Linked DNA regions of Lepisosteus oculatus. The protein of the gene in region 4 purifies or fractionates together with the protein of the main gene of each other region. This does not show direct contact. Links are inferred from orthologs where the notes say so. Each region holds a gene or a part of one and is shown on either strand. Other genes may lie near its edges. The genes, in order: iscua, sdhb, sdhaf1 and hscb.

What was found.
Region 1: the proteins of hscb (region 4) and iscua purify together in Homo sapiens (affinity purification with western blotting; 3 studies listed by BioGRID and IntAct, with this or other methods). This does not show direct contact. The link is inferred for Lepisosteus oculatus from reciprocal best matches to the Homo sapiens genes HSCB and ISCU.
Region 2: the proteins of hscb (region 4) and sdhb purify together in Homo sapiens (co-immunoprecipitation; 3 studies listed by BioGRID and IntAct, with this or other methods). This does not show direct contact. The link is inferred for Lepisosteus oculatus from reciprocal best matches to the Homo sapiens genes HSCB and SDHB.
Region 3: the proteins of hscb (region 4) and sdhaf1 purify together in Homo sapiens (co-immunoprecipitation; 3 studies listed by BioGRID and IntAct, with this or other methods). This does not show direct contact. The link is inferred for Lepisosteus oculatus from reciprocal best matches to the Homo sapiens genes HSCB and SDHAF1.

What each region holds. Positions count from the first base shown.
Region 1 is NC_090717.1:6,283,074-6,291,593, reverse strand, and holds the start of iscua (iron-sulfur cluster assembly enzyme ISCU), read left to right. Parts: upstream 1-4,707; 5' UTR 4,708-4,786; coding exon 4,787-4,885; intron 4,886-7,560; coding exon 7,561-7,674; intron 7,675-8,035; coding exon 8,036-8,146; intron 8,147-8,231; coding exon 8,232-8,310; intron 8,311-8,520. Other genes in the region: sart3 (squamous cell carcinoma antigen recognized by T-cells 3), read right to left, coding at 94-278, 634-738, 1,287-1,413, 3,491-3,676.
Region 2 is NC_090720.1:389,273-397,424, reverse strand, and holds the start of sdhb (succinate dehydrogenase [ubiquinone] iron-sulfur subunit, mitochondrial), read left to right. Parts: upstream 1-4,562; 5' UTR 4,563-4,626; coding exon 4,627-4,683; intron 4,684-5,789; coding exon 5,790-5,929; intron 5,930-6,065; coding exon 6,066-6,151; intron 6,152-6,258; coding exon 6,259-6,395; intron 6,396-6,482; coding exon 6,483-6,599; intron 6,600-6,914; coding exon 6,915-7,016; intron 7,017-7,859; coding exon 7,860-7,982; intron 7,983-8,141; coding exon 8,142-8,152. Other genes in the region: mrpl20 (large ribosomal subunit protein bL20m), read right to left, coding at 376-453, 1,047-1,157, 1,937-2,023. UniProt on the Homo sapiens protein: Iron-sulfur protein (IP) subunit of the succinate dehydrogenase complex (mitochondrial respiratory chain complex II), responsible for transferring electrons from succinate to ubiquinone (coenzyme Q).
Region 3 is NC_090698.1:1,229,710-1,236,818, reverse strand, and holds sdhaf1 (succinate dehydrogenase assembly factor 1, mitochondrial), read left to right. Parts: upstream 1-5,665; coding exon 5,666-5,914; 3' UTR 5,915-6,274; downstream 6,275-7,109. Other genes in the region: tbcb (tubulin-folding cofactor B), read left to right, coding at 370-513, 895-991, 1,477-1,668, 1,777-1,849, 2,452-2,569.
Region 4 is NC_090717.1:5,419,930-5,428,321, reverse strand, and holds the start of hscb (iron-sulfur cluster co-chaperone protein HscB), read left to right. Parts: upstream 1-4,788; 5' UTR 4,789-4,884; coding exon 4,885-5,294; intron 5,295-5,863; coding exon 5,864-5,960; intron 5,961-8,210; coding exon 8,211-8,300; intron 8,301-8,392. Other genes in the region: chek2 (serine/threonine-protein kinase Chk2), read right to left, coding at 1,245-1,298, 1,413-1,509, 1,608-1,698, 2,068-2,200, 2,440-2,564, 2,916-3,201.

The DNA.
Region 1 (8,520 bases), about 860 kb from region 4:
ACTTAGTGGATTGGTCTCTCCACAAGCCTGGTTGGAGACCACTGATTTCAGGACCAGGACTGGAGAGGCACCACTCTGCCCGGCGTGCCTTACCTGTACAGTTCCCAGGATAGCGTTCTCAAACTCTCTGAACGCCTCCCACACGGCCGTCCCTTTAGTCATGTGCAAGCCCACAGCTGTCAGGGCTCTTTCAAAGATCTCTCGCACTTTCTGTATCCCACCCTGAGTCCCGATCCCCCCAATGGAATACTGAGCGTATTCCAGCCAGATCTCGGGGCCTGCATTCCAAAACAACATGGCAGGAAATTAAAGAGTCCTGATGAATAATCAGTTACAACAGTGCTGGAGACATAACCTATTAGCATCTTTTTTTGGTAAATGAATAAATGTCGTTGAGCCTAAAAGTATTTCTGGTTTGACATATCTTTTGGTGGTTAAAAAGTGATAGTTTTGCAATTCACAAAATTCACATGAATTTAATAAAGCACCTTAACATCACTCAAGGAACACAAAGACAAAGAGCAACATATAAAGGAGATGGCAGGGCTTAATTTGGTATGCAAAATAAGAATGGGTCAAGCACAATCGAGCCCAGATTTTTAATAAATTGTAAAAGAAAACAGTCTTACTTACAGATGTAATCCTTGACTGCCTTCTCAAAGAGCTCATACACTTTCTCCCGATCAGAATCTTGATCTGCCATGCGTATTTCATCTTTCAGCCAGTCCAACCAGATCTCTATGTAGAAATGCATGAGACAAAATACTTAAATTTATCCACAGAAAATACAGGTATTTCCTTTACTTTTGTACAAACAAATCACTGCACGGGACTGAGGCAGTCTGTCTCAACTATCCATCTACAAGTACAAGGTGCAAAAGATCTGAACCGAGCGCTTGCAGGGACTGCGAGGGTAAGACAGGGTTAATATGCATTTTTACCTAGGGAAAAGATGATGCTCAAATTTTGCTCGTTTTCCCCTTTTCACGCAATTTAGGTCTTTATTGAAAGAATGAAAACCGACATGAATATTAAAAAAAAGCTTCACTTCCATTTTTGCAGCTCCATTTCAAACACTTGCATGTACTGGAAGTGACAGACAGCTACTGTCCTATGGGACCATGTTCGTGATCGAGATCAGTCAGACTGGTGAATCAATGGACTCCAATGTGTACAATACACAGATTGGCTCATATGTTTCTAAAGCCTGTAATCTCAGTATCTGAAAGGGGTGTTTAAAGGCAGGTTAACGAATAAGCGCAGTGAAAGAAAACATGGCCACCCACCTTCCGTGAGAGGGAAGAGTTCGCTCATCTTCTGTCGCGCTCTGTGCAGACGCACCAGCTCCCCCTCCTGGCGGAGCAGTTTAATCAGGTCCACATGGCAATTATAGTCGAAGGCGTTGATGGACAGCTGTTGGGCAAGAGCACATCACAGGTGAGCAAGCAAAGCCCAGTCCACCCAAAAACAAGACAGTGTCCAGTACTTTATACAGAGTGGGGAACAAGAGGGCCATAAACTACTAGGTCTTCTCACCGAATAACACAGAAAACTCACTGCAACTTCGGTTTTACCGGCCCATCACCACAATCTGGTAAAGTCACAGCTACCCAGAAAACAACACCCTAGAAGACAGGATGTCAGTCCCATCTCGAGACACTCACACTCACACACCTATTGAGCACATGTCTAGAAACACCCTGTGAAATCCTACACAAGAAGAACATACAAACAGCTCAGGAGCTGCCCCTGTCCAGAATCAAAGCCAGGGTTCAAGAGCTGCGAGGCACCAATGCTTACTGCCACACCTAGCTTAAAAGCACAGCCAATATTTCCTCTAGGCTTCTAAGCCCATTTGCCACACAAAACACATCCCAGTAAAGAAATGTTTTAATTAATGAATGAGCAACCCCCCCATCTAAATATCCATTTTACACCACCTGTCTTTTTTTTACTTAAATGACATGCATTGTGAAAATGGTTGCAGCTGTGGCAATAGGACACTTTAAAGTTGATCTTGTGGTCTTTATCACACATAGCACACAGGGCATTTCAAACAGGTCTTTTGTAAGAGGAAAGCAGAAAAGAAGACCATGAAGCTTATTTCTTTGAAGCAATACTTTGTCTTACTAGTCTTTCGTCAAAAGATTAAAGATTGGCTATATGTAAGGGAGCTGAAACGCTGTCTTCTTCCCAAGCCAGTTATCAGCTAACACAGGCATGTGAAAACAGATTTCTGTTTCTCCACTCTCAGACAATACCTTCCCTGCCACCAAGTAAATGGAGCCCATTATTTAGCCTTATACATAATTTATCATTATAACATGCAACCTTATGCAGCATGTCATTCTCATTATAATTTATACAATGTACACATTCAAGACTAGAAAGATCATATTTGCTAAGGATTTAAAGTCCATTTGGCTACATTTAATTAACCTCTGTGCTATGATCCCCGCTCTTGTGTGACGACTTTCCTCTTTAGCTCTTAATTGCCTTCCATTGCTTTCACCCATAAAATATTTCACCGCATAACGACTCTCTGCGCCTGTTTCTTTCCCTGGCTTGTTTTTCCGATTACAGACACCCTGGACAAGAGCGAGAACAGGGGTAAGGGTTAATGGTAGCACAAGTTTCACACCCGGTAAAAGGATGACGGCCAGTATCCTTATGTTAATCAAACGCTAAAAGAGAGCTAAAAAGATCGATTTTAAGGATTAAACGCAACGACTCGTCAATTGTATTTCAGTAATGTCACTGCTAGCAGTGTCGGGCATAAACAGTACAGTACTTGCAAGTCAGTAAAAACGGGGTTTTATCGGGGAATCGTCACGTGAGGTTAACCTATATCTAGAGGGGCACACGATCGTTACTGACTTCTGGGCTTCCGCTGGGAGCTCAGAGGACGACAGAAATAAACCCCGCTTCTCTAATCATGCAAACCCGCCGCACACCAGCATTTACAACAGCCTCCTGCACCATTCGGCAAATCTGCGCAGCACGCCGGGCGATGCAATGTGTCAAAACCGAGGGGTTACGTACGTACACACAGTTTAATTACATTCGTATTAAAGTGCACAACCTCCGAAGTGAAGCAACGGTGATTGTGAAGTGTAGCTAGCTAGCTCTGCGTTTCGGTAAGTACGTTGCTTTCACCTGCATACGGTGCGCCTGCTTGCTAAATGAATGGGCGTCGGAAAGGACTAGATAGCGCAGTAATTTAAATCCCCAGGCGTGTATGAATATGCAGCTATAAAATACATTTTTTTTCATTAGCGGTCCAATTGCGTTTTCTCAACTGATATGCCTTTTGCCGTTTCCACGGCCTGCATTCGCCTAGAGCTCGTAATTTTTTTTGTGCAGTTAGGACTTTAGAAGGAAAATATTACTGCTGGGCTGCAGTTTAATTAAACACCATTTGCTAAGTGAATCATTCCATGTCGGTGGTGCACTTGCAATATCGTCCAGCCCCATTCATTCATTTCCTTACTTGTTCCTCCAAGCGCTGGATTTCAGCCTCGTTTTCCTTCTCATCGTCCGAGGAGTCTCCCTCCTCCTCATCGGACCCTTCGACTCCCATGCCTTCCTCTTCTGACTCCATCTCCCTCTCTCCGCCGGCCGCTTCTTCCTCCATGTCTTGCAACTGCGTCTCCTCTTCGCTCCCCGTCGCCGCCATGTTGGGACTCGATCTGCCTGGTAACAGCGGTGAGCTGCCCAAGACACCGCCCGGCCCCACGAAAAAAATCACAAGGCGGAAAAATATACAACGCAGCTCAATGAAAGCGCGTCGACCTCCTTCATAAATTAACGGTGGGAAAGGGCAGTCAATCGCGATACGATTTATACGTATAATTTCACTTGAGTCGACTCGGATGTTCAGGCGATTTCACAGGTGTTCAGACGCACTTTTTCCTCAGGACCTTCAGTCACAAGGGACCAGCAGCGCTTGCAGTGAACCACGTGATTCTATTAATGCAGCGGAGGGCCATGTTTCATAGGGTCTTCGAGTAATGATAGAGTGTTACCGTAGTAATAGTTAAAAAATTCCCACCCCCTACGAATAACAGAGTGAATAAATATACACCAGACAACTACATCATTATGTTTCATTTTACACGTAAATATTTTTCCATTCAACCATTTACCGGGCAACCTTGAATTTTCAGTAACGGCTTCGTCCAATACACGGTCAATTAATACAGCATTAATAAAATATATATTTTTTTAAGTACGGTATGTGGAGTTCGGACTTTTATTAAGATACAGACGAAAGTGCAGTTGTCACTGTCCCTCAGTATCCCAGTTTTCTTGCACGTTAAGTTAAGGTTGTGTAAGCCTACTGTTTCATAAGCTTTTGAGCATTTCCTCCTGCTGTGTTGATTTTTCTTTACAATAAAACGGATTGGCAGATGGGAAAGAATAGGTGTACCCCTCTTTTATTTTTCAAAAATTTAATGCAGCATAAAATAATACAAAAAAGTGGAGAAACGGCCTCCAAAAAGACGGGAACAAATCAGAACGCTGCCAAGAGTTCATTACGAATCCGAACAGAATCGGTTACAAAATGAATATCCGTCAATGGTGTTGGTGCGTTCGTGATGTTTCGAATGTAATTGCTTAGGTAATATTGCATGAAAGAAATGTCCTTTGCAAAACGTGTGGGAGGAGGGGGGGGGGGGGTATTAGACGCAACTCCTCCCCCCGTTACGCACGCGAGCAGGAAGGTGCTTATGCGCTCGCTCCGGCTGCCTCGGGACAGTTGCTGTCTCGCATCCTCGCTGGAAAGATGGCGGTGGCGATGGTGAAGCGGTGTTGCTCCCCGCTGTTTTTCTTCAGAAGGCTTTCGGCGCCGGAACTCACCGTGTCGTTGCCTTATCACAAAAAGGTATCGTGGAAACAGGGCCGTCTTTCACCGCTGCCGTCCGGGTGTCTGCATTCTCACCGTTTGCGTTCCCGACTCTTTTTTTATGTCGTGCGTATGTCGTAATGGGATACCTACAGGGGGCGTTCCTTGCTGGTGTAACTTTTAACTGCGTTTTAGAAAAACACACGCTTTCGACAACGACACCTACAAAAAGAAGCAGCTGTGGGAATTGGCCATCCGATTCCAGGTGGAGTTTAAAACCCCTGTTTTGTAACGTTGTTTTTAATGTCACCTCGTGTGACGGCATCGGGTCGGGTCATGTTTTGCCTGTAACGACACGGCGGTGAACCCCTCCGTGTCTTCTGTATTTGATAAGCGACACTGTTGCCTTTAGAATTTTTCAAGACGTAAAACGTTTCAAGGCGTTTTTTAATCTTATGCTTGGACTGAATCATGCAATACGGCGCGCTGTTATGCTGTCATTAATGCCGCTATGCGCGTAGCGGCGAGACGACTGTAGTGACGTAAACGCAATACGGATGACTTGTTCTATTCTGCAGTTTTTCGAAAACTTGAACCGCTTTGATCCAGTCAACAGTTAAACCAATTTGTGTTTGAGAGAACGGTATTGTAAGTACTTTCAGCGGGCATCGAGCTGTCTCCTACAATACCCCGCTCGCTAACTAATTAACTGACGAGAGAAGATAGTGCTTTTCCCTACGTGTGTGTTTGGGGCATGCATTATCAAGTTCCTTTATGTAAATGGAATGGATGGTTTTAAGACCTTCTTTATCATTAATAATTCCTTACATTTAGAACTTGTCAACCACAATGAACATGAGGGGACTTACTTCATACATCACTGTGGGTGTGCAGTGTCCATGTGGATCAAGTGCAGCAGCCATTCTGCACGAACATCTCCACTGTACTGTAGATCAGATGGAGGATCAGAGATGCTTCACCCGTTGAATGAGACATTAAACTAATTAATTCAAAGACTGGCACTTTCTGTTGTGCATTTTGCACCCTTGGTCACAAGAGCACCACCTACTGGTCCACCAACACCACTTACAGGAGCAACCCAGTTTTTCCTCAGAGGCTTACTGTACTCTGGTTCCGGTACTGACCAAGTCTAGCCTTGCTTAGCTTCTGAGATCAGACAAGATCAGGCTCCGAGGTTGTGTCACAACAGCACATTTAAGTACCCGCTACACTTGTGAGAAGAAATCTGGGTCACTTAAATGTTTATACCATGCTTAGAGCTAAGCTGTTTTTGTCCTGGCTAGCATTAACCCACCTTTTGTCTGTCACTGACATGGTGGTGATTTCTGCTTGGCAGAGTGAAGATGAACAGCCTTGTCTGGATTACAGTGCGTGGTAAAATGGGCATTTGCATTAAGTTGTTAAGCCCCTTGGGTAAGCGTTCCCAGACATGACCTGAGTTATGTGATCTTCCTTTGCAGGGTACAAAAGGTGATGGCACAAGAGATGAGTAACAACGTGTTTATCATCTGTCCTAATTTGCTGAAGCATGAACTTCGGAAACTGATTGCAAGCTTTATTCGGAGAGGAATGACACTCATTCAGAGTGTGCTTTTCAAGAACGATTCATGATTCACCTTTTTATTGCTTGTCTTGCCACAATATAATGATTAGACACACATGTTTTTCTTAGCGTTTGTTTGTGAGGCAGTATTGTCTGGACTGGGGTGGCATGATGGCGCAGTGGTTGGCATGGCTGCCTCAGAGTGCTGGGGCTCCTGGGTTGCTGTCTGTGTGGAGTTTGTACATTATGTTTTCCCCGTACTCACATGGGTTTCCTCCAGGTGCTCGGTCTCCTCCAACAGTCCCAACTCATACTGGTAGGTTAATTGGCTTCATCCAGGGAGTCTCCTGCCTTACTCCCTTGCTTGCTGGGACAGGCATCCGCTCCCCTTCAACCCTGTGCAGGTCAAAGTGGTTAGAAGATGGATGGATCATGTCCGGACTTGAGAATTTGAGAATGACCTAGAGATTTTTTAAAAATAGATTCAGATACTTGGGATGAGACGGGGACCCAGACTTTTTTCACTCAGATTCGTGAATATCTAGTTTTATAAATGTTTTTTTTTTTTGAAAGCATAGATTATTGTAAACTATATGGCATTGGGGGGAAAAATTACCTGGGCCCAATTGCACTATAATGATCAGGTTGTGTGAAATGTTACCCACACAAGGTTTTCCTTTGCTGGTCACCATTAAAAATAGTTACCCTCAGTTTCACGCAGATGCCACATTTTACAGGAATCATAATCTTGTGTTCAGCTTTGTCTGTAATCTATTAAAGCCCCATTAGCTTCATCAGTAAACCTTAACCTGCTGTTTGATGTGCAAATTACAATGCTCGACTATAAACCTGCGGCCTTATTAATAGAGTATATCCAGTGTCCATCCACCCCCCGAGAGTGTGACTCGGTGCTGCCCAGAATACTCTATTGTAGGGAGGGGATGAGGATCAGGTGCTTAAACGTACGATTGACAAGATAATCAGCCTGTTTTTCAGTAGATCAGTCTGTTCTGGTTTTTGTTTTGGAAGGTGGTGGGACTCCTCTTACTTTTTTTTTTAAATGGTGTCCTTTAAAGTCTTCCACCCATGGGGTCACGATTGCAATAAAGACATAGAAGAATAAATCAGGGACATTTTTGTTTCTTTAAAGGTGGTGGATCATTATGAGAACCCCAGGAACGTGGGCTCCCTCGACAAGAATGCAAAGAACGTTGGCACTGGACTAGTGGGAGCGCCCGCATGTGGCGATGTCATGAAATTACAAGTAAGTTAGCTGTGCAGTTACCTGTGCATGATACACCCTTTACATTCCTGTTCTACTGTGATTGCCACATTTGCTATGATAATGTGACCTTAACTGAATACAGCTACCATCCAATTATATTTAACACGTACTTTGTCAGGATAGATACAAAAAGTGTTATGTGCTTAGCTTTTGAAGCTTTAAAGCGAACTGTTCTTGGTATCCATGGCCATTACCAGATGAGCTTGCGACTCCCATGAGACTTGCGCTCGTATGGGATGTTTGCAGTAGAGAACAACTAAATTAAGCTCACGTTTTGGATGAGAAGTATTCACAGTTTTTAGTAAACCCTGACCTTGAATTTGGCCCCGTGTCTTTGCAGATTGAAGTGGATGAGCAGGGGAAGATTGTTGATGCCAGATTTAAAACGTTTGGCTGTGGGTCGGCAATTGCATCCAGTTCTTTGGCAACAGAGTGGGTTAAGGGCAAATCGGTAGGTAACTTTTTACACGATTATTTTTGGAACATTTATCTTATTTGCAAGGATTTAATCACTGAATTTGCTCTTTTCTTTGCAGATTGACGAAGCCCTTAAAATCAAGAACACTGAAATTGCCAAAGAACTTAGCCTTCCTCCTGTCAAACTGCATTGCTCAAGTAAGTTAATGCACTATTGTTTCCAATCTGTTTTCAGCACAAGACCCTATCACCATCTTTTCATTCATCTCCTAAAATTGCTAAAAAATGTAAATTATCAGCTGTAACGGTGGGGTTTTAGGACTGATTTCCCATACTCATGTTAGTATTGGTCCAGGACTGCTAATGTAGATTGTTAGATGGACCCTGTTTAGCATTAGTCTTGGACTA
Region 2 (8,152 bases), on a different chromosome or scaffold from region 4:
CAGGCAGACCTGGCTGCCCAGAGAGGACAGGCTCAGTGACCACAGCCTGGACACAGACACTGGACACAGGCAGACCTGGCTGCCCAGAGAGGACAGGCTCAGTGACCACAGCCTGGAGACAGACACTGGACACAGACAGACTTGGCTGCCCAGAGAGGACAGGCTCAGTGACCACAGCCTGGACACAGACACTGGACACAGGCAGACCTGGCTGCCCAGAGAGGACAGGCTCAGTGACCACAGCCTGGACACAGACGCTGGACACAGGCAGACACAGTCACAGTGTCTTTCCCCATTATAATTGTTATGTCATTATTATTAATAATGATGAAAGGGATCTAACAATAAGAACAGTAACAGTTTAGTGTGGCTGACCTTGATGAGGTTGTGCAGGAGCGCAGGGTACTTGAGGCCGTGCTCCCGGGACGCGGCGGCGATGCGAGAGATCCACAGCTGAGAGGCGGGAAGAGAGGGGGGCTGTGTGAGGAACTGCAGCGGCCCAGCGAGACCAGCAACACCTTTCGGACTGGTGCCACCTGCCCTGCTGTCCCCCCCAGTATGGCTCTGTGCTGCATCACTGCCCTGCTGTCCCCCCAGTCTGGCTCTGTGCTGTCCCCCCCAGTGTGGCTCTGTGCTGCATCTCTGCCCTGCTGCCCCCCCCAGTCTGGCTCTGTGTTGTCCCCCCCAGTGTGGCTCTGTGCTGCATCTCTGCCCTGCTGTCCCCCCCAGTCTGGCTCTGTGCTGTCCCCCCCAGTGTGGCTCTGTGCTGCATCTCTGCCCTGCTGTCCCCCCCAGTCTGGCTCTGTGCTGTCCCCCCCAGTGTGGCTCTGTGCTGCATCTCTGCCCTGCTGTCCCCCCCAGTCTGGCTCTGTGCTGTCCCCCCCAGTGTGGCTCTGTGCTGCATCTCTGCCCTGCTGTCCCCCCAGTCTGGCTCTGTGCTGCATCACTGCCCTGCTGTCCCCCCCAGTCTGGCTCTGTGCTGCATCACTGCCCTGCTGTCCCCCCCAGTGTGGCCCAGCGCCTCTCCCCGCTGCGCGGCTGCTCACCGTTCTCATGTTCCTGCGCTTGGCCTTGCGGGCCTTGGTGGCGTAGACGAAGGCACGGCGCACCGCGCGCACCGCCAGCCGGAAACAGCGGTTCTTCCTGCCCCTGAAGTGCTGCGGACACACACACACAACAGACACACACAGAGAAGGACAGAGGTGTGTGAAGAATGAATGAGTGGTCACAGCTCTCCAAGCAGCTGTACTCAGGAAGTACGCTCCATCTCCTGGCGTAAGACTCCCAGTGCACAGCAGACTGATCCATTCCAGAGTTTACAGCCTGCAGGATATGGCACGAAGGAGGAACGTAAGTTCTCAGATGAGGGTGTGCGCTTGGTCTCCCTCTGATGAAGGCATCAGCTTCAACAACACGTCTGGGTAGCTTGTTCCGTACCCCCACCACTCTCTGTGTAAAGACCTGCCTCCTGCTCTCGGTTTTAAATGCGCTTCCAGGTCCTCCGATTTCAGTCGGTGCCCTGGAGGAGTTTGAAAGCTCAGCCTGAGCAGCAGATATAACCTGCTGTCCAGATCTCCACAGCCCTCACCCTGCCCACGGAGTCCACAGGCTTAACCGGCGCCTGCTGCCGCTTCTGAAGGCGGGAACCGTCTCCCAGGTCGAGACCCTTCGAGCACAACGAGGTGCCATCAGCAGCATTACCGGCAAACTCGCAGGGAAAGCCCACGCCAGCTGCGACACCCGCTCGTGACCTCGAGCCGTCGGGGGTCAGGTCATGCCGGTACCGGGCGGAAGGCGCACTGTACGGTACCGAGGCGTGAATGAAAAGCAGCCTACAGCCACACAGGTCTCGGGGCTAAACGGCTCTTCACCCGCACTGGAATCAAGTGAGCTTGACTCGGAAATCTGAGAAGGGTGGAAGGATAAAGTCTCCTACCCGGGCATTCTTCAGAACCTCCTGGACCCTCCAGTACCGGTCTGGCCCCCGGCTCCTGATCCAACGGGACAGAGTCAGAAACACCATGCCTCCACTGTCCCTGCTTTCGCTCTCTTACTCCCTTTGTTGACCTCCTCGGCTCGGTGCGAGATGCAACCAGCGCGCTACACGGAGGCGGCCATCATGTTTGCTGCGAGGTCAGGGCTGACGCCATAGACGTTAGCCGCAGGGGCGTGTGGGAAATGTAGGCGATCCCTAGCGCCGCGCCACACGGACGCCCCCTGGCGGCTGGCGTTCGCCAAGTCTCGAATTCTGTCTGAACTCCTATGAATTGAATTTGCTCCTCCTACGGTGTTTTTTAATCATCCTGATTTGGTATCATTTGCAAACATTACTAGTTTAATAATAATAATAATTGCTTACACTTATATAGCGCTTTTCTGGACACTCCACTCAAAGCGCTTTACAGGTAATGGGGTCTCCCATCCACCACCAACAGTGTGCAGCCCCACCTGGATGATGCGACGGCAGCCATAGTGCGCCAGAACACTCACCACACATCAGCTATTAGTGGGGAGGAGAGCAGAGAGTGATGAAGCCAATTCATAGAGGGGGAGTATTAGGAGGCCATGATTGGTTAAGGCCAATGGGAAATTTGGCCAGGACGCCGGGGTTATACCCCTACTCTTTTCGAGAAACGCCCTGGGATTTTTAATGACCACAGAGAGTCAGGACCTCGGTTTTACGTCTCATCCGAAGGACGGCACCTGTTAACAGTATAGTGTCCCCATCACTATACTGGGGCATTAGGACCCACGTGGACCACAGGGTGAGCGCCCCCTGCTGGCCCCACTAACACCTCTTCCAGCAGCAACCTTAGTTTTTCCCAGGAGGTCTCCCATCCAGGTACTGACCAGGCTCACACCTGCTTAGCTTCAGTGGGTTGCCAGTTGTGAGTTGCAGGGTGATATAGTTTACTGGCTATATCACAAACTAGATCACTGATATAAACTTTAAGACTCAAATAACGTCTTATTTTTAATTAATGAACAAAACTCCAGCCTATAAAAGGCTCACATTACAAAACATCGAGGAGGACAAGAGAAAACACCATCTGAGGTGTTATTATAATATTTACGAAACAATCTTATTGATCGTTTAAAGGTCATTGAAATCCTTTCCGATTAGCTTAAAACACTGTGGTGCAAGACATAATATTGGACTGCTCGTGTTTACAAAATAATGTTGAGATAAGATGCCATTGTTACACACTATGCGTTAAAATGTCATTTGATATTTTCATCAGCGGATTTCAGAGTCAGAAGTGGGCTTGTAGAATAACGGGGAGAGATCTCACACCACAGCTACACCGCGTACAGAAACAACGCCTTTCTGCTCGTCTCCCAGGCCTAAGGAAACCGGCGAGTTAAACACAACGGTCTGTCTTTTTAATTTGGATTGTAATTCACAGCCCCAGAAACCATCTGCGCCTCTAATCGAAGGGAGTTTTTAAGAGTGAAGCGAGGCGCTTTGAGATCTATTCGGATGAGAAGCGCTATATAAATGCAAATACTTTTTACATAATCGTCTCTAATGTAGGCAACCTAGAACATCAAGAGAGGGTTAGATCACGTGTGTTTATTGTGACTGTTCTTCTGAGTGCTAAACACGCACGATGTTTCGCAATTTCAACACAAACATCTTATAAAACTGGACCGGAAGGAGATGTAGATGACGTCAAAGGGGAGGAAAGCGTGGCGGAAGAAGGCGCTGTTTCTATGCTGTGGGATTGTGGGATAGAGGCGAACAAGGTTACAGAATAGACCTCGCTATAATAATTCTCGCTAGACATTATTGGCGGCCAAGACAAGTTTTCTCCCACTGTAGGGGCAAACACCGATTGCCCTAATAAATAAACAACTTCTTAGTCAAACATTCCTAAAGTATTTCAGGTGGGTAGCTACATCAGCAGGCGCAGGCTGCAAAGGAACAAGAAAAGGTTTATTCCTGCTGAGAAGAGAAGAAAACAAACAAGGCTCCACGTTGTGATTCCTGAAATATAGTACCAATCCAAACAACAGCAAAAAACGAAACTTAAAAAAACAACTAAGAGTCTTTACCCAGCCAATCTAGTTGTTTTCACATTTACAACACCTCACAGCCTTGTCTGATCTCGGAAGCTCAGCGAGGATCGGCCTGGTCAGTACTGGGGAGCTTCAGGAAAACCCAGCTGCTCCTGTAAGTGATGTTGGTGGACCAGTAGGGGGTGCTCACTGCTTTGCACCACAATTTCCAAATCAGGTCCTCGGTATGGAGGCAGGTTAATACCCCAGGGCACTGTTCCTATGACCACGGTGACCCAGCTACCCTCCATGCTGGACACATACAATCTGCCCCCCCTACATTTCCTCCTTTATACACTGCTCAAACAGTTTCTCCCTTCTCCCCCATCGTGCTGTGCACTGGAGCTGCTACTCCAGCTGTGTCCCACTGTGCAGTGGAGACAGCGGCACGACAAGACTAACTGCACCCAGGACAAAGTCGCCCGTCGTGCGGCTTCTTTGAGAAAACTCACTGCTCCCCAGGACCTGCCGGAAGTGGCGCTCTAGCAGCCGCTGGATGTCGGTGGTGTCCGGTGTTGCTCAAAAGCTCCGGCTTGCTGACGCTCAGAGTCCTTCGGTTCCTCCAAGATGTCGGCTGTGTGCTTCTCCTTGAGGAGCGGGTCGGTCCTGGTTCCGGCCCTGAAGGTGGGTAAGGCGGCTCGGGGAGCAGCCGGGGGTTCCGGGGGGACAGAGGGGAACCCGAGACCGAGAGCGGGGCTCGGCGAACCGGTCCCGAACAGCGGAGTGCGGGTCTTGCAGCTGCCAGCAGTTACACAACCCGTCTCCTTGAGAGTCCGAGGGCCAGTGCGGCGGTATCTTGTAAAAACAGGTACAATCTGTAGACCCGCTGCTCTGCTCTGGCGGCTCGGTGTGTTGGGGGGTCGATTCTTGATAACGACTCCCCTGATAAGCCACTTTTTCAAGTTACCTTTGAACTGTGTTGCTGAGACGCTGTGACGACCGGCTCAGGCAGCGGACTGGGTCGGTGTGATGTTCGGGGTGATGTCCGCCTGGCCCCGCTTGTGCCTCGGCTCCTGTGAGGTTCAGCTGCCCGGGTTGATGGAGTTGATGGATTTAACAGCTTCTCTGTAGTGTAACAGCTTTATCCCAGGGCTTGCTGTAGTCAGTAGACCGGGCTGAGCGGGTTACACGCAGGCGCCAGGCTCTCAGTGGTTCTTTGTCATTGGGAGCGATGGAGCAGTTTGAGGATCTGTGTTCTGCTGGTCCGCCACGGGTTGTTGCTGAGATCCCCGAATTTAACTCAGCCGTTCACTGAAGAGTCTCAGACAGTGTACTTCCCAGACACACACACCTCTCTGTGCACAGACACCTACTGGATGCCCATGGGTGACTCCAGGTCCCTGCAGGACCGGAGACGCTGGTCCAGTGCTTTCTCCCAGCGCTGCTGTCTGTCGCCAGTGGCCTGGCGCTTGCCTGCCTCTCTGCGTGTAGACAGCTGCAGGTCAGACCCGTGAGTGGGGACTGAGCTGTTGCTCGGCGCCAGGGGCAGTCAGTGTGGGGAGCTGATCTGGGGTCAGCAGTGGGGCAGAGGCACAGCTCAGGTCGATGACCCCGCCGCTCGGTGTTGCGGGCGGGGGTGCGTCGGAACAGCTGTGCCGTGACGCGGCGGGGGCGGTCCGCGTGGGAAAGAGCTGCCGTCGAGCTGGTGTCTGATGATCGCAGGGAGGTCTCCGCGGGCGAGGGGCTGGGCCGTTTCTCCGGTGACGCTCGGTCCTGTGTTCCCCTGACAGCTCGCCCGCGGCGCCCAGACAGCCGCCGCCCCAGCGCAGGCCGCCGCAGCGCGCCTGAAGAGGTTCGCGATTTACCGCTGGGATCCCGACAAGCCCGGAGACAAGCCGCGCATGCAGACCTACGAGGTCGACCTCAACAGGCAGGTCACCCTGAGGGCAGCCCGTCCTGCTGCTGCACCCGCTGTGCATGTATGCGAGTGGGTAGTTGTGTGCATACGTGCTGTCTGACACTCTGTCCTGTCCTGTCCTGTCCTGTCCTGTCCTGTCTGTCTGCAGCTGTGGCCCCATGGTCCTGGACGCCCTGATCAAGATCAAGAATGAGCAGGACCCCACGCTGACCTTCCGGCGCTCCTGCAGAGAGGGTGAGCGCTGGGCTGGGCTCTGCCTGCGGGCTGAGACCCGTGTGTGTGTGTGTGTGGACTGCAGCTCACCTGCCCCCTCTGCGTTGTGTGTTTTGTGTGCTGAGCAGGTATCTGTGGCTCCTGTGCCATGAACATCAATGGTGGGAACACGCTGGCGTGCACCAACAAGATCGACGCCAACGCGGCGCGCGTCACCAAGATCTACCCCCTCCCACACATGTACGTCGTCAAGGACCTGGTCCCGGTCAGTACGCCCCCGGCAACGCCTCGCCACGCTCCGACGCCCCCCGCCTGGCCAGCCGCTGACCCCTCTCTGTCCCTCTGCCCGCAGGACCTCAGCAACTTCTACGCCCAGTACAAGTCCATCGAGCCCTTCCTGAAGAAGCGGGACGAGTCTCAGCAGGGCAAAGCTCAGTACCTGCAGTCAGTGGAGGACCGGCAGAAACTGGTACAGTGCGCCACGCCGCCGTGCCTGACCGCCGCCGCACGAGAGCCGGCGTGCCTGACCGCCGGCGTGCCTGACCGCCGCCGCACGAGAGCCGGCGTGCCTGACCGCCGCCGCACGAGAGCCGGCGTGCCTGACCGCCGCCGCACGAGAGCCGGCGTGCCTGACCGCCGCCGCACGAGAGCCGCCGTGCCTGACCGCCGCCGCACGAGAGCCGCCGTGCCTGACCGCCGCCGCACGAGAGCCGCCGTGCCTGACCGCCGCCGCACGAGAGCCGCCGTGCCTGACCGCAGTGCTGATCTTGCTCTCTGTCTCCAGGACGGGCTGTATGAGTGCATCCTGTGTGCATGCTGTAGCACCAGTTGCCCCAGTTACTGGTGGAACGGAGACAAGTATCTGGGGCCGGCAGTGCTCATGCAGGTGAGGGCTGGGACTGGGAGCACAGGGACTGGGGGAGGGGGCTCTGGGACTGGGAGCACTGGGACGGCTGGAGGGGGCTGGGACTGGGAATCGATGGGACAGCAGGAGGGAGGGGGCTGGGACTGGGAGCACTGGGACGGCTGGAGGGGGCTGGGACTGGGAATCGATGGGACAGCAGGAGGGAGGGGGCTGGGACTGGGAGCACTGGGACGGCTGGAGGGGGCTGGGACTGGGAATCGATGGGACAGCAGGAGGGAGGGGGCTGGGACTGGGAGCACTGGGACGGCTGGAGGGGGCTGGGACTGGAAATCGATGGGACAGCAGGAGGGAGGGGGCTGGGACTGGGAATCGATGGGACAGCAGGAGGGAGGGGGCTGGGACTGGGAGAACTGGGATGGCTGGGGGGCGCTAGAACTGGGAGCGCAGGGATGGCGGTAGGAGGCTGGGACTGGGAGCACTGGGACGGTGAGGGGCTCTGGGACTGGGAGCGATGGGACAGCAGGAGGGAGGGGGCTGGGACTGGGAGCGATGGGACAGCAGGAGGGGGCTGTCTGATGCACCGCAGGAGAACAGTCTGATTCGCCACAGATTTCACCTGCGGTGGGACTGTGGCACAGGGGCAGCCCGGGGTTCCAGAGATTAGTCTGGAGTAAATTTGCACAGACAGATGCTTTGAGATCAATTAAAAATACTCTTTATACATGTTTGCTGTTTTATCACTACATCTGGGTAAGAGATACACTGCTGGTAAAGCCTGGAGTGGATCTGAATGTGGGGCTTGTGTGCTGGTGCTGCTGTACTGGTGTAACTGGTGTCACTGGGCTGGTGTCTTTGACTCGCCAGGCGTACCGCTGGATGATCGACTCTCGGGACGACTTCACAGAGGAGCGCCTGTCCAAACTGCAGGACCCCTTCTCCCTGTACCGGTGCCACACCATCATGAACTGCACCAAGACCTGCCCCAAGGTACAGTACTGCCCCAGCACCTGCCCTGTAGTCCACTGTACTGCCCCAGCACCTTCCTCAGAGCACTGTAATGCCTTGTAAAACAGGTGAATTGTCATGTATGGTTCCCAGTGTGATGCTCCTGACTGCAGTGTAAGATGCTGTCTCTCTCTGGTGCAGGGCCTGAATCC
Region 3 (7,109 bases), on a different chromosome or scaffold from region 4:
TCTCTGACTGGGGAGGGTCAGTGAGGCTGTGTGTCTCTGACTGAGGAGGGTCAGTGAGGGTGTGTGTCTCTGACTGAGGAGGGTCAGTGAGGGTGTGTGTCTCTGACTGAGGAGGGTCAGTGAGGCTGTGTGTCTCTGACTGAGGAGGGTCAGTGAGGCTGTGTGTCTCTGACTGAGGAGGGTCAGTGAGGCTGTGTGTCTCTGACTGAGGAGGGTCAGTGAGGCTGTGTGTCTCTGACTGAGGAGGGCCTTAAATCTGAACTGCCCGGCGACGTGTTGGGCAGCCGATGCGCAGCCCCTGTGCAGTGAGCTCCCCTCGCTAAGCGGCTGTACCCACTCCTGCTGAGTGATGTCCTCTGTGTGCCGCAGACCAAGCTGGAGATGATCGTGGGATCTCCTGCGTCCCGCATGGAGCTGCAGCTCTTCAGTACGACCGACAAGTTCCTGCAGAACCTCGACGACAACGAGGCGCTGCTGGGCTCCTACCCTGTGGACGACGACTGCAGGATACACGTAGGGCATCATCGCTGGTCTCTCCGCTGTCGTGTCAGCTGGGCCTCGCGGCTGTCGCAGGGCGAAGTCCGGGGCCCTCCTCTTGTGTGGCAGTCCAATGCAGGACTGTGTTGTGGTGCACAATACTAAACTGTATTGTGAGGATTCGATAGTCATGCACTCTAAAACCAGCATGTACTTTTTATGACAGTAGTTATTCAGGGATGTCGGTGAAATGTCTTGGCTTAAGTTGCATATCAAAGCACCTGAAGTGTATTTACCAGTACCACTTTGTATACAATACTAGTACGATTTTTAAGAACTGCTGTTTGCATTCATGATTTCTTTGTGTTAAGAAGGCTCTGGCCAGGATCTGACTCTCCAAACCTTGTGTGTGTGAAGGTGATTGACCGGAGTGGGGCGCAGAGCGGGGAGTTCACCGACCTGTCCAGAGTGGAGAAGTTCGAGATCTCCGATGAAGCCTATGAGAAGAGATCAGGTGCGTCACTCTGGCCGCCGGCCTGCGCTGCTCTGGGATGGGACAGAGTCAGATGAAGACACTCTTAATTCTAAAGAGAAAACAATACGTGTTTCATTTGGCCAACATGTTATATAACTTACAAAACAATGCATTCACTTGTCACAGCCTGGCTTTCACAAATACTGTTCTGATCTCCTTACTGGCTTGGTGAAAAAGGACAGCTGTTTGTGTTTTCCTGCAGAGGTTACATTCTTTGATGACATCTTTGTGCAGCTCCTCTAGGCAGATGGGCCCGGCCACTGATTTAATTTTCTGTCCGATGGCCGGGACGGTGAGGTTTTATTATGATGGCTGCTTGCACTCAGCCTGTAGACGGCAGTGCACTCAGTCATGAAGAGGGCTGTGATCAAAGCTGACGTCCCACCAGGAGCCTTTTGGCCAGAATCCCCAGGCAGGAGCTGGTGTGTTGGGTTAATCCTGTGGCGTTGTGCCCCTGCCACCAGACTCTGTGCGCTCCTTCATGAAGAAGAAGAAGGTGGGCCGCTTCAATGAGGAGGATGTGGAGCGCCAGAAGGCAGAGCAGGAGCAGAAGGAGAACGAGGAGAAAGCCCTGACCGAGGCCATCGCGGTGGGCGCCCGCTGCGAGGTGCGCGTCCTGGGGCAGCCCCCCAAGAGAGGGACCGTCATGTATGTGGGTGAGTGCGTCACCGGCGGGCCTGAGCCCCCTGCGAGGGCCGGTGAGCTTGCGTCTGTCTGCCTCAGGGCTGGTCCGTTCAGTGAGTCTCTTGCTGTTCCAATGGCAGGTCTGACGGACTTCAAACCAGGTCACTGGGTAGGAGTGAAATACGATGAGCCCCTGGGGAAGCATGATGGCAGGTAAGGAGAGTTTTATAAATTAGATGGAGGTGGAGTACCTGTATTTAAAAGACTTGAACATTGCAAATTAATTGTAGTAGTGTGTAGTTACCATGTGATTGGGATAGTTACCTTTATTCTCAAATAGAATAGAATGGTATTCCTTCTGATTTTTTCATTTGATTCGTGAGGATGCACAACACAGCAAATGTTTAGAAAAGACTCTTGCTGTGACCGGGGATCTGTATTCCTCTCCTCTTCTCTTAAATTGACCGCATGTTTGACATTTTGCCTGTGGAGTTAGGAAGTCAATCATTTTAATTTAAAATGATTTCACATGCACAAGAGTTACAACCGCAGAAGTGTTCTAGATTTTTTTTTTTGCCCGCTTTATTTATCTTAGGTTTATTTTTCTAGATTTATTTTTTTAGTTTGAAAGAATTGTTTTTCATGTAGTAACAGCTCACAGAGCTGTGTATCTAGCAGTTTGGGTTAAAAAGCAGGAGAAGATGGAGCTCCTGCAGGCTGCAGCCTCTGCCCATTATCCTGCTGCATCAGATGAGTGACAGTTCAGTGGGTGAAGCCCGTGCATTCGGACAATGTTGTTGTTGTTGTTGTTTCAGCGTCAACGGGAAGCAGTATTTTGAGTGCCAGGTCAAATACGGAGCCTTCGTCAAGCCACAGGTGGTGGTGGTGGGGGATTTCCCCGAGGAAGACTATGGCTTGGATGATGAGATGTAGTGGTGAGGAGGGAGCAGGGAGGCCCGGAGACCGCTGCTGTGCTCTGCGTGTGCTGCCGCTCCTGGTGCACACTGGAGTGTCTTCTCACGTTGTTAAAATACTGTATATATTTTGAAATGTGCAACAACTTTTTTTCAATTAATGGAGGAGTTGATTTCAAGACTTGTCTGTCAGATTAACTGCGAGGTCATCAATGCCTTATTTAAATTTATACTTTGAAAGTGTTTTTTTAGTATATTGTCTACTTATTAATGCTAAAGCTTGTAGAATTCAACTATCACTCTGTGTGCAAGTGGATGCAGTTTTCCCTGTGATCTCTCTGCTAAATTTATGTATTTAAATAGGTGTAATGTTGTTAACATAGGTGGGGACTGTGATCATATCTAGGATGTGTCCCTTTTTATGTATAGATAGGCTCATTTAAGTGGCGTCATTGTACAGTATGTTGTTCTGAGTGATTGAGCTTGGATATTAGTCTGCATGTCTGAGTTAAACTGTACAAGTCTCATTCACACCATCACACACTTTGAACTCAAGGTCTGTTCTATCAAGTGGCAAAATGCTCCTAACAAGGTTCACCTCTGAAAGAAGTAGGCCTTCTTTATTTTTGTAATTCAAGGTAGAGATTGTTTTGTTTACCAGTAGTGGTCTGGTATGTTCTCCATTTTTATTGAAGTGAACCTTTGCAGCAGATGAAGTGTGATAAGGCCTCCTGCGTTGTGAGATCCAGGCACTTCTGACAAAGCTGTGCTGATAGTTATTCTAAAGATTGCATGTTCTAGGGGACTTTACCTTCATGTTTAGCACAGGCTGATGTGAGAACTTAAACCAAAGGGTCTTTTAGAAGTTGCCAGTTTGCGAGGTGGAAACAGGAGTCCCATCAGTGGGAGACCTTTCCTCTCGTGTTAAAGAGGAGGCCAGTGGAAGCTGTCCTAGGCTGCGGTGTGGTGCCACTCACAGCTCTGTCTGAGCTTGCCATTTCCAGTTCAGAGCAACTGAGAAACTGACAAGGTCTAATTTTCAAAGAGCTTGAATTGACTGAAATAATTCCTTTTACTATGCACATGAGTTACTGAGGAGTTTTGTGCCAAAGTGTCATGATATATTTGTACAGTATAAATAGAAAACTATTACTAATCCGGATCCCAGACAAGGCACATGTAGTGAGTTGCACTTTTGTTTTGAACACTACCGGTCCAATGTTTTCTCCACAAAGGCAGTGTTGCGCAGACTGCTGCAGTACTGAGCCGAGAAGGCAGAACTGCCCTCTTTATTATGGCACGCATTTCATTTCTATGGAAAAGGTCCCAAATCAACCAACTATTGAAGGATAACTCTTGAGTTGAAAGCACTGTTTTCTTTGCTGGCTATGTCAAGTATTGGTCATCAAAATGAAGCATCAGATTTCATGCGCAATATACTGTATGCATCCTGAACCTGAATTTACACCATGTTGACTCTGTGATGGGGGGAAAAAACTACTAAGTTGTTAAAAAAATGTCTTAATTTGTCATTAAAAAGCACTAATGAAGTTCCAAATACCAGGTCTGTGGTGGCTTTATTCCTGTGCTGTAAATGATATGGTTTGGGAAACTAGTTTGATGGTGGCTGTTCTAACTTGTAATAACCTCTGGTGTCGATCGTGCCTCCATGGCTGTCCTGTCTGGGCGCTGTGTTGAACTGGAGGGGTTGTGCAGCAGCTGTTGGGCTGTCCCGGAGGGGTGTTGGACACTTGTACAGCACCTCCGCACAGGGGTCTGGTCACAGAATCTGAGTGTGCCGTACCAGATTCTACCAGGAAAACTTCAAGTGCCCGTCATGAGCAAAAGCACAAGGACTGTGAAATGAGCTCTGCCAAGGATGCACTACGCAGTAGAGGCCATGATGGACGAGGTTTCGTTTTCCAGAAGCACTGAATGGTGAAAAGGCTTTGTACAGAACAGTGAAGGGCTGACAGAATCTCCCTGCAGTGCAAGATGCTTGCAGCTCCCAAGTAAACTGAAGGTAACCTCTCAAAACCTGTTTAAAAAAAATCCGTCTTCCCTTTCCGTGCCTGGCCTGCGCTCCTGGGGGTTCGGAGAGAGCCGAGGTGCGTGCGCGGCGGGTGTTCGCGCTGTCCAGCAGAGGGCGCTGCAGGGGGGTCGAGCTGCTCTGCAGATGGAGGCCTGTCTTGCCAGCGGGCCGGACTCGGTGTCATAACAACAAGGTTATGTCTGCTGCGCTGGCGGGCGAAGCGAGGTGCACAGGTTGCACACGACGAGCTGGAAAGTCAGTGTATCGCTCAGCAGCTGTACGCAGGTGACGTTGGCTGACAGATATTACCTATTGTCACGGTAATTGTTTTTAAAATACCTACAGGAAAGTATAAATGTGCTAACCAGTGCTAATATCTCATCGTTATTTGGTCATTTTTGTTTCATGGTGTCTGTATCTGTCGTTGGGAGTTCTGTGGAGATCAGATAATGGCTTGTCAGTGTTTTTTTTTTTTAAGACAAAGTGAAGGTGGCAGGAGGAATATGATTCTGTTAAATGTATTCATTAGAAACATTGCCGTTTGCAAGAACGATTAATATTTTGGGAATGACTGTGTAGAGACTCGACCGACACCTCCTGTCATCCCTGTCGCATTTTAGGGGTATTTTATCCATCGGTAAGATTCAGATGCCTTCGGGTCACACTAAAACACTCCTAGCACCGCTGATTTGTGACCTTATAAGAATGTTCCCTGTTATTCTTAATAAAGCGTCATCAAACGTTTTGTGGATCATTTGCGTTGTGCTGTCTGGGAAGTGCCCGAGGGACTCGGGAGTGTTTTCAGTGGAAGGGAAGGGACACGGGAAGACTGTTGATCAGCCACACTGCTCTGGGAGAAGACGTCAATTAAACTAACTCACCTCGGGAGAAAATAAAGCTTTCGTTGGTTACAAACAACACTTTGTCTTGTACGGAGTAGTTTTCACTTGGTTGCAGAGCTGAAACTCGGATTTCTAACGCGCAGATCGAAGCAGACGACGCGTCCCGGTCAGGCATGCCTGAGTGACCCCTCTGAGCTGCTGTCCTGTGGTTTCAGGTCCACCCAGGCGGCCCCTCCTCGCCATGCTGCGCCACAGCAGGCTGCAGAAGCAGGTCCTGGCTCTGTACCGGCAGCTCCTGAGGGCCGCGGCGCACAAGCCGGGCTTCCTGCCCCGGATCCGGGACGAGTTCCGCCAGAACGCCAGCATTCCCAGGACTGACGTCATGCACATCGAGTACCTGTGTCGGCGCGGGTGGCGGCAGCTGGAGCAGCTCGGTCACGCCACCACCCGGCGGCTGGGCGCCTTCTCCAGGCCCGGGGGGCGCGGCTGACCCCCGGCTGGCACTGCGCTCGGGGGCGGAGAACTGGACCTGCCGGGTCCATTTCAGGTGCCAGCGGCTCCTATCCGTCCGCCTCTTCATTCCCCTGACTGCTCTGGCAGGAGAGGCAGCTGGTTAGTCACGCCCCGGCCGTCGGTCCGAGGCGGCTGGTCAGTCTACCGCAGGGTCACTGGACTGCAGAGCCTTCAGCCCGCAGCACAGCTCGGGAGCAAGACTCATCGGGCTCAAACCCGTCGAGAGGCCGCTGTCACATCTCCATAGTGGAAGGATTTGTAATGCCGATATTGTAGTTTGCGTTATTTCTCACAGACTGTTTTAATAAAATAAGTTTAATTGAACAAGAGAATGTAACATTGGTCTCACTGTTTCTTAAATCTTCCATAGTGGTTCCTGACTTGAACTTCTGTTATTTCGCTGTTCATTGGGTATTGCTGTAGACTTTCTGTAATCAGATACACATCAGGCTACAACTCAGTTGGTTGGCATATTGCCTTCTGCTACAGGTCAGTTCCTCTCACATGCTTGTAACGGAAATAAATTGATTTATTTTCATTGATTCCATCCCATCGTTCAGAATTTCTCAGTTTCACGTGTAAACACTGGCTGGGTGCGTGAAAAGCAGGAGCTTTTGAAGAAACATTTGTTTATTTTCTTGCACTGCATTTGTTTCTTTTGTGCTATAATAACAATAAATGTGCTATGTAATAACAATACATTACACTTCTTCAGCGCTTCTCTGGACTCTGCACGCAGAGCGCCTCACAGGGAATCACAGAGCCACTGCTGTCGGAGTTCCTGGCCGCTGATCCGGCTGTCTGTCACGGAGGGTAACAACACGCACAGCAGGCAACCAGTCCAGACAGCCTTCCTGGACCTGAGCCCTGTGCAGACCAGTTGGCCACGGTTTTTAGGGAGTTTTTGTCTACTTGGTTCTTAGTCTTTCACTTTTACAATCTTCTGTTCCCTTGTGTTCTACTAAATCATACCTTCATACCAGTGCCGAAGAAAAATACTGCAACCAGTTTAAAGATTACAGGACGGTTGCGCTCATGTCCACCATAATGAAATGCTTTGAAAGGCTGGTCATGAGGCACATTAACACAATGGTGCCTGAGGTCTTAGGGGCCCTGCAGTTTGCATACCTGTGTAACAGGTCCACTGACAATACTAGTTCCCTGGTTTGCAC
Region 4 (8,392 bases):
AATGGCAGATTTTGGGAAAAGCCATTCTTTCACCACTGTATTAGATGCTCACATTGAAGTCAATGATATATACAATATTTAATAAGCAGGGTACTTAATTAAATATAAATCAGACTCATGACACTGGCACGGTACAGCAACATCATGAATAAACTGAAAAACTAGCCCAGGATAAAGCAGTTTTATTAGATAACAATCAGAAAGGAAATCAAGCAGAAATTGACCTTCGAAAAAGTCTTTATAAGAAAAGGGTTCAGGCCACATTTAAAAATATTAAATGTGGCCCAGTTCCTGAGTTCTTTTGGGCTGGTGATTCAGAGCTTTGCGGCAAAGCAACAAAAGGACCCATCAACCACAAAGTACTGAGAAACACTAAAACCAGGCTTGGAATTCAGTGATATTTGATTCACACTGATCAAAACCTTCAGAAACGTGAGCACAATAACTCAAGGTAAACTGTAAGCTAGTAGCAAACATTAAGCGGTAATAACAGACAGCTAATAAATCCACCATATTTACCAGTTTAAATCTAATGGACTCATTGGCATAATATTCATCTTCAAAATTATATGTTTCTCTTTACACTTCCACAAAGCTAAAAGATCCAAGCTACAAAACAGAGATCTATTGGAAATAACTGTTAGCTGTTAGCCACCAGAAATAACTGTTAATAAAAATAAATGCTTGAATCTGTGTAATTTAAAGCTATTGAATCTGATGATCATGACAGAATTAGAGTTTTGCATGAAGGGAATGTGAAAACAGCAGAACAGTTCACAAGCCCTGATATTTGCATAGCAGTACATGTACAGTACATTAACACCTATCCCTGGGTGTTAACTTTGACTTAATATATGCAAAGTGGAATTCTTTCTAGAGAATTCTTCTTTCTAAAGCTATGAAACAGCCAGAACGAATTATATTCACATTTCCATAATTACTAGTGTATTAAAACGATGTGGGTATATAGGTTTTGTAACTCAGAGATGCAGTGTTTTTGTGTCTCCACACATTTGAAACAATTAGCATAAAATGATGTTCAGAAAGAACATGCCCTTTCTCAGTCATTTGAATGTTTGCTAAATAAAGTTACTTGTATAAATTGCTTTGTCCATACTAAGCCAAAAAGTAGTAAGAGGGTATAATTACACAAAGCAACACCTTGCAGATATTTGACTACCAAAAACCTAAAGACATCTTTAACACCCACTGACAACTGGGTGAACGGCAGGTTACTCACGTACATGGTCTACTTTCTTCAAAATCTCAATTTCTCTTTCGGCTGAAGGGTTTGTCCTCTAAAAAACAAAACATTACTTTAGCCTTTGAGTAAACCTCCAATTGAGAAGGAGCCAACAAATTCTAAAAGAATAAAAAATGACAGACCACTCCTCTTGAAATCCCACACTCACGTCAGTGGATGAAAAATCCTTCTTATTTATAGTCTTCACTGCCACCTTCTTGCATGTAGACCGTTCAAATGCCAGCTTAACTTCTCCACAAACTCCTCTGGAAGATAAGGCCTGATTCCGTTAGAAAAAAAAATCCCATCTCCCTGCCAACACCCCCTTTAGCGAGGCAACACACTTAACGACTGCTCCACTTACGATCCAATTTTTCTTGATATCAAGTATTTGTCCTTGAATTCCTTTGGGAGGTTTGACTGTTCATCAACGGTGAGGTCAATAAACACAAAAACTATAGAGAAAAAAGTAAAATATTTCATTTTAGGTACTGGGAAGTAAGAAAAAGAGTAAGACTAATGTAACATATCACCAGCTTCCCTTATACAAAATATATTTAATTAAACATTACAGGATACCTTTGGGATTCCTACAAAAAGCTATGCATGGATATGAGAACTTTAGAAATGACATAGATTATAAAGCAACAGTCTCTAGAATGGGTTAAATACGTCAGAAGAAGGAATCCTGAGCTACATGGGCAGTACAATTTAATGCAAGTTAGTTCACACACTGATGTGTAGATGTCTTAAAAACTCCTTTTCAAACACCCCACCAAAAAACAAACAAACTTAGTAACAAAAATTACACAGAAAAATTCTACCTTTGTTCTGGGGGACAGAAAGCGCCAGTTCAGCATTATTTGCCAGTGGTAACTTTTTGCCCTGTCCCATATACTGTCCGTCAAGATAGGTCCCATTCCCACTGTGGTCTTCAATATACGGAATTCCGCTTTCCTGCACAGAGAAAAGTTGGAGTGGGGAAGGGAGGGGAAGGAGGTGTTAAAAATGTGTCAGTTTCCTACAAAACTGTGACCCAATTAATCACAGCATCAGACAACTATTTCATGAATTATTTCATAATTGTCTCATAAAGAGACATATTGGGATAACAAAAGCATTAAATCTTCAAAAGGAATTGTTCCGAGTGGATACCGGAACAGTTGACCAAGGACGATAACAGAAGTACCTCCTACCCTGAATATCCTGAAGTGCTTCTTACTGTAACTTGCGTACTTTTCTGACTTTCTGATTAAGGCATTATTAAAACTGTAGTCACATCGTCTGTCTCTCCCAAACCAGTATTCATCCTTTATGCAGTCTGAAAGAAAAAGGCCAGGTTTGCCACGTTTAACATTAAACAATTAATGTTCGCAACTGCTTAAGATCACAACACACAACACAAAGAAATAATTAGTAAATCTTTCTTTATACTTCAAAGTGGCCATTTTACAATATCAGTACAAACTTTCACCTGAACACACCACTTAATAAAATGTTCGAGAACACTGAAGAAATGAACTATTTAGGTAAAGTGGCGCATTCACTTTCAGATTCATAATCAGGAGATATAACTTCTTTCTACAAGCTTCCGAAAGCCAGCGATGGCTAAATGGCACAGAACTGTCCTTTGGGACCTAGTCCAGACAGGCAGGAGAGAGCGAGCCCTCACTGTGCATTGCGAAGCCCTTCTCCATGGGCAGCAGGCGGCCCCAGGGCTGTGGGGGGGGCTCCTCCGGGTCTTCGGCCTCCTCAGGAATGGACGAGAGGTCCCGCACGGGGATGGTGTCGACGGAGCTCAGCGTGCCTGAGCCCGAAGACGAGGACGACTGGCTGGAAGACTGAGGCGCCGACGAAGAACTGGAGCTGCTCTGGGACTGGGACTGGGATTGAGACTGGGACTGGGATTGAGACTGGGACTGAGGCTGGGTGTCACTGGGGCCAGGCTCCTCAGACATGGTTAAGCTCCCTGGTTACCTTTACTGAAAGCATCAAGCACAACAGAGGCACCAGAACAGTAGTTAGTGGTCTAGCTTTCCTCTGCACACCCTTGTTTTTCCTTCAGCACAAAGCTGCTTCCTGTTGTTAACCTCTGATGCTACTTCTCATGTGGAAACAAAATCATGATTCTGCTTCCTGGCTCAGAAGAACTGGTATGTTTTTATGTTTATAGATGCAAACACAACACGTGTACCCAGGTAAGGCCAAACACTTTGACAACCACGGGCAAAACTGCATATGCTTTCGTGAACATGAGCAAATGGGGTTGGATAATCAAGCACATCAATAATGGTTGAATTTAAAATGGTAAGAAAATCACCTACCTTGGACAGGGTACTTTCGCACGTTTATGATAAAATCCCTGAGAGACAGTGGATTTTTCTTGTTTTTGAACTTTTAATAAATTATCTTGTCATGAATGTAACTTCCAATTCAAATTAACGCTGCACTTAAACACTAAACATAAAAAAAATCACAGTATTAAAAAACATAAAACGCTATATCCGAGGTGCCTTCTTCAAAGCATTCGGCACAATGCTAGTGCAGATTCCTACAAATCGGTGCAGTTCTGCACAACTTCCCGGTCTCTGGCGGCCGCTCTCTGATGTCCCGCACCCATTTAGCACATATCTGCAAATTCTCCGCAGCAAAAGAGTGGTTGTGGCCGCGCACGGTAATGCAAAGATCAAGAGTGGCTTGTAACAAAATGTTATTGTACATCTACAGTATATAGTCCTTTCATCCACAAAATCTTGAATTGCCCGAGGTAAAAACTAAATAAAGTGTTTTCATTAAAAGTTGTCATTCGTTTTGGTGGGGGTCATTATTTTTAAAAAAAATATTTCTGGCAAAGTGCCTGGCATCCCATAGTCTGTAGTCCTTGCATTACAAGGAAGCAAACTTGCACCCGTCCGCAATAACAATAACAAGAGAGCCGCCTTCTTCCCGGTGCCACATGGTAACATAGGCCGAAATAATTAAGGAAACACGTCTAAGATATGAGACACATTTCTTAACACGACTAAAGAAATCAGAAACTGTAGCTAAATCTATGCAATGAGCTCAGATGACGTACACATTAAAAGAAAAAGTAAAAAAACTGCGCCCATGACTCCCGGTCAATAAAACTAATACAGTAGCGTAAACTTAAAGAAAATACAGAAGCATGCTGTTTTCATTTTGCATGATTCATACGAGTTAGGTCATACCTGAGTTCAACAAAATCAGCTACTCACATGCCCAAAATTCCCCGATTATTCCTCAATCACAGGTAGTACATTCAACAACGCCGAAACGTTTTACAAAATCAACCAATTACAGAAGCCAACCAATCGGGGAAACTCTGGGGCAGACTGGGAAATGTAGTTCAGCCTCTGCCTTGAGACCTAATTTGGGAAATATGTGACTTAAACTTGAGGTTCGCTGACTTCCATAATATTAAACGAACCCACAAATTTAAACTAATGCATGTAAATACCATAGTATTAATACTGCATATTTACTTTTAAACAATTTTATGTTTTATATATCCAACCGGAAATAATTCTGATGCTTCCTGTTGTCTTCCCTACCCACCTCCTCCTCTTACGAGAGGTGAAGGCAGTACCGGCATGCATGGATATTGACTTAAAGGAAAAACAATGCTGATATTAAACAGGTTACGATTTGCCAGCTCACTCCGTAGAGTTTGTGGCCTAGGGCTCTATGTTGGAAATGATCAGTCTGTCTTAAAACATCTACCTTCCACGTCTGGCTGTGAAGCTTTCGTAACGGTGTTCACCTTGAATGGCTCGGGCAGCCGCCGTTCTTCTGGAGTCTGTTCAAAAACATTGCATTTTTTGGAGCACTTCAAATCAAATCAGTTCCCAGCCACTTCGCTCTTGAAACGTCGATGCGGTATGATTTCCAGGACTTTTTGCACGGTTTTGAAAAAACTACACTGTTGGAAATGCGAGGCACGACTGCAGACGCCTCCTGCGTTCTTCTGCCCGGCTTGCCTTGTCATCCAGCCACTTGATGAAAACATCAACTTCTTCGACATCATGGACTGGTGAGAAGGAATCTGGTCTGTCTGGCACTCTAAGTAGTTTGTCCACTTGAGCAGTTTCGATCTCAGGTGTCTGCGTTGGCTGACTGAAATTGTTTTCAGCGAGATCCCTCTGATATGCTAAAGTTACACATGGTTTTGTAACCTTAATGGGTTGCCATATATTTATTAAACGTTAACTGCATAAAACAGCTTTGCATTTCTTAAAACGTTTTAATTCTTAGAGAGGTCTTATAAATATTGCTATTAAGAATCCTAGTTCAGGTGGGTAACTGCGTCAGCATGCGCAGGCTGCAAAGGAACAAGTAATAGGTTTATTCCATGCTGAAAAGAGAAGAGAGACAACACAACGTTTTGGCTGTGGAGCCTTCTTCACGTGTGAGGCTCCGTGGCCGAAACGTTGTGTTGTCTTTCTTCTCTTTTCAGCATGGAATAAACTAATAATACTTGTTCCATTAAGAATCCTGTACATGCTAGTTGACTTTTTACATCTGCAGCATTTATTGCTCGACTATCATCAGATGTTGGTGTTAGTGCACCTGGTGTTAATAAACCTTTATGCACTGTTTTAGTGAAATATCCTTTGCTTTGGATGTTCGGAAGTTACAGAAAAGGTACATGCATCTTCAGCGTTCTCTTCACCCTGATAATTTCAGCCAGAAAACGCAGGTAAGCAATGCTTCCAGGTGTATGGCACGATTTCTGCAATTAGTTCTTAAACGGGCAAAACGTTGTTGTGTCACTGTGTAGACTTGTACTTCCACTGTCCACAGCTTGTTTCTGTTCAGCATCTGTACAAGTCCAATGAATAGAATCAAAACCCAGTGAACTATGGACTGGTGTTTTTTTTTGTCAATCAAATATAATTTTGCATTTCTGGTATAGTCTGTAAGTGAAGGTTCACCAGCCTCCATAGCGTGCGTGCACCTGCCAACTCTAATGTCTCCAGACATTTAAAAAAATAATCGTGTAGGCATACTCATGCAATGTTCAAACTACAAAAAAGTCAGTCTCGAATAGCAGTGGAATTACATGGCAGAAATGGCAGGAGTAACACTTAACTCCTGCAAATAGACTGAGTGTATCTGAGTACTTTGTAGTCTGGTCTGAGGATTTTGGAATTTCACATTGCAATGCAGTAGTGTTGGATATGGAGACTATTCATGTCTAAAAATAAAGACTTTGCTTTAAAAATAAATGGCTTGTCTGATTCCATTTAACTTAAGTGATATGATGTGAAATGTGTTTGGCTTGCAGAAGAGTCTATTTGATACAATATGGTGCATATTAAAGACAAGGACCATCAGTGCTGGGGATTAGCATGGTAGGGTATTAAACTTTCTCCCAAAGCACTTTCTGTTACTCTGCACCACTTTTAAAGAATTATCAGGAAAAAGTGAAAATTTGGCTTGTAATGCTATTTCAAGCCCCCAGGAAAATCTGCCTGCTGCTGATTGTTAACCATATTTAACCATATGGAGCGGCACTGACTAATTAATGCTTTTGGATATTGAGGTCCTAGGAGCAGACTGACTCTGGAGATGATCCAGTCTACAGATCAGTTTTAAATGAGGGGCTTGACTGACTGTTGGTGTTTTGTGTAGCATGATGTATGGCTGTAACATAGAAATCGGCCACTTTTAATTCTCATTGATTCCCATTGGCTGCATAAGCCTGGTATGCCCCTCTGTTGCTGAGCCCTTTTACCTTCAACTTGTCTTCCAAACATGAGATGGTTTTTCAGTTATTTCCTTTTACATGTTTCATACACACCAGCTTCTGTTGTTGGATTCAAGACATTCAACTATTCCAAGCATGACAAGACCTTTAAAAAATCAAATTTTCTTACACTCAGGACCTGGTAAGTGTAAAATTAGCCTATTCAGATGCATTCATAAAATGGCAAGCAGATCTGAATGCCAAGGTTTGGCTGTAGGTTTACAAAAGTACTGCATAATCCCACATTGACGTTAATGTAGTTGTTTCATAACTGGACTGAGTTGCATCTAAACAGTAGGCAATACACATGTACAGATCTGGTCCCCAATGTTGTGTTAATTTGTTTGAATATAATAGACCTTTTTTTTTTTTAACGCTCAAGGCACTTTGAAGCACTGCTTAGGTAATCATAACTTTTTTTGCACCTAATTTCATGTTATTATTTATGATGTAATTGATAAATGACCAGCTGTGTTGTAGCTTTTACCACGGATCAGCATAAAGCGGTTTACAGCTGCTTCTGTAATACTTTGTATACTTATTGTGAAGGTTTTGAAAATTTGGTCCAGGAAAATAGTAGCTTGCTATGGTACCTTTGTCTAAATAGTTTATTGATCTCCAGTATTAGCTTCAACAACATGGCTTGGTACCAAACCTCCACAAAAATTTGTGTAAAAAGCCTCTCCTGTTTTCAGCCATAAATATACTTTTTCATGAGCAGCTTGTAGTTGTGCCCTTTTGTACTTATTTTACTCTTGAGCATAAAGTAATCTTCTGGGCTGACCTTGTCAGCACCTTTCAGGTTTGTGAATACGTTTTTCATGCTTGGCCTCAAGACTGAAGCTGTTTAGTCCCAGATATATGTGGACCTTCTGTTTTTTCTACATTATTTTTTTAATGAAAATGAGAGGCATTTCATATAAAGAGTTATCAAGTGCTTTTTAACCTTTGGTACGTTCAAGCACATTCTGCCTGTCAGAACTAGTAACTTTCCTTTCACAAATAATTTATTATATCACATCATCAGATCATGTTAAGTATGCTACATTGAACACTGACGGAAAGGGAAAAAAATTACTTTTGGGGAAAATAAAGTCTTATGATTGCCCTGTGAGATTTCTGGAACATGTGCTGTAATAAATAGCATGCAGGGTCTTTATTGATTACTTCCTGGAAGTTATTTTGTGATGTCTCTTACAGCAGGAGCAGGAATACTCTGAAAGTCAGTCTGCCCTGGTTAACAGAGCATACAGGACTTTACTTAAGCCTCTCAGTCGTGGGCTTTATATGGTAAGTATCAGTCCTGTCAAATTAGCAGTGACAATGATACAGTACATAGATAAGTTCAAAATATTGCCATTACTTTTTGCATACAGTGAGAG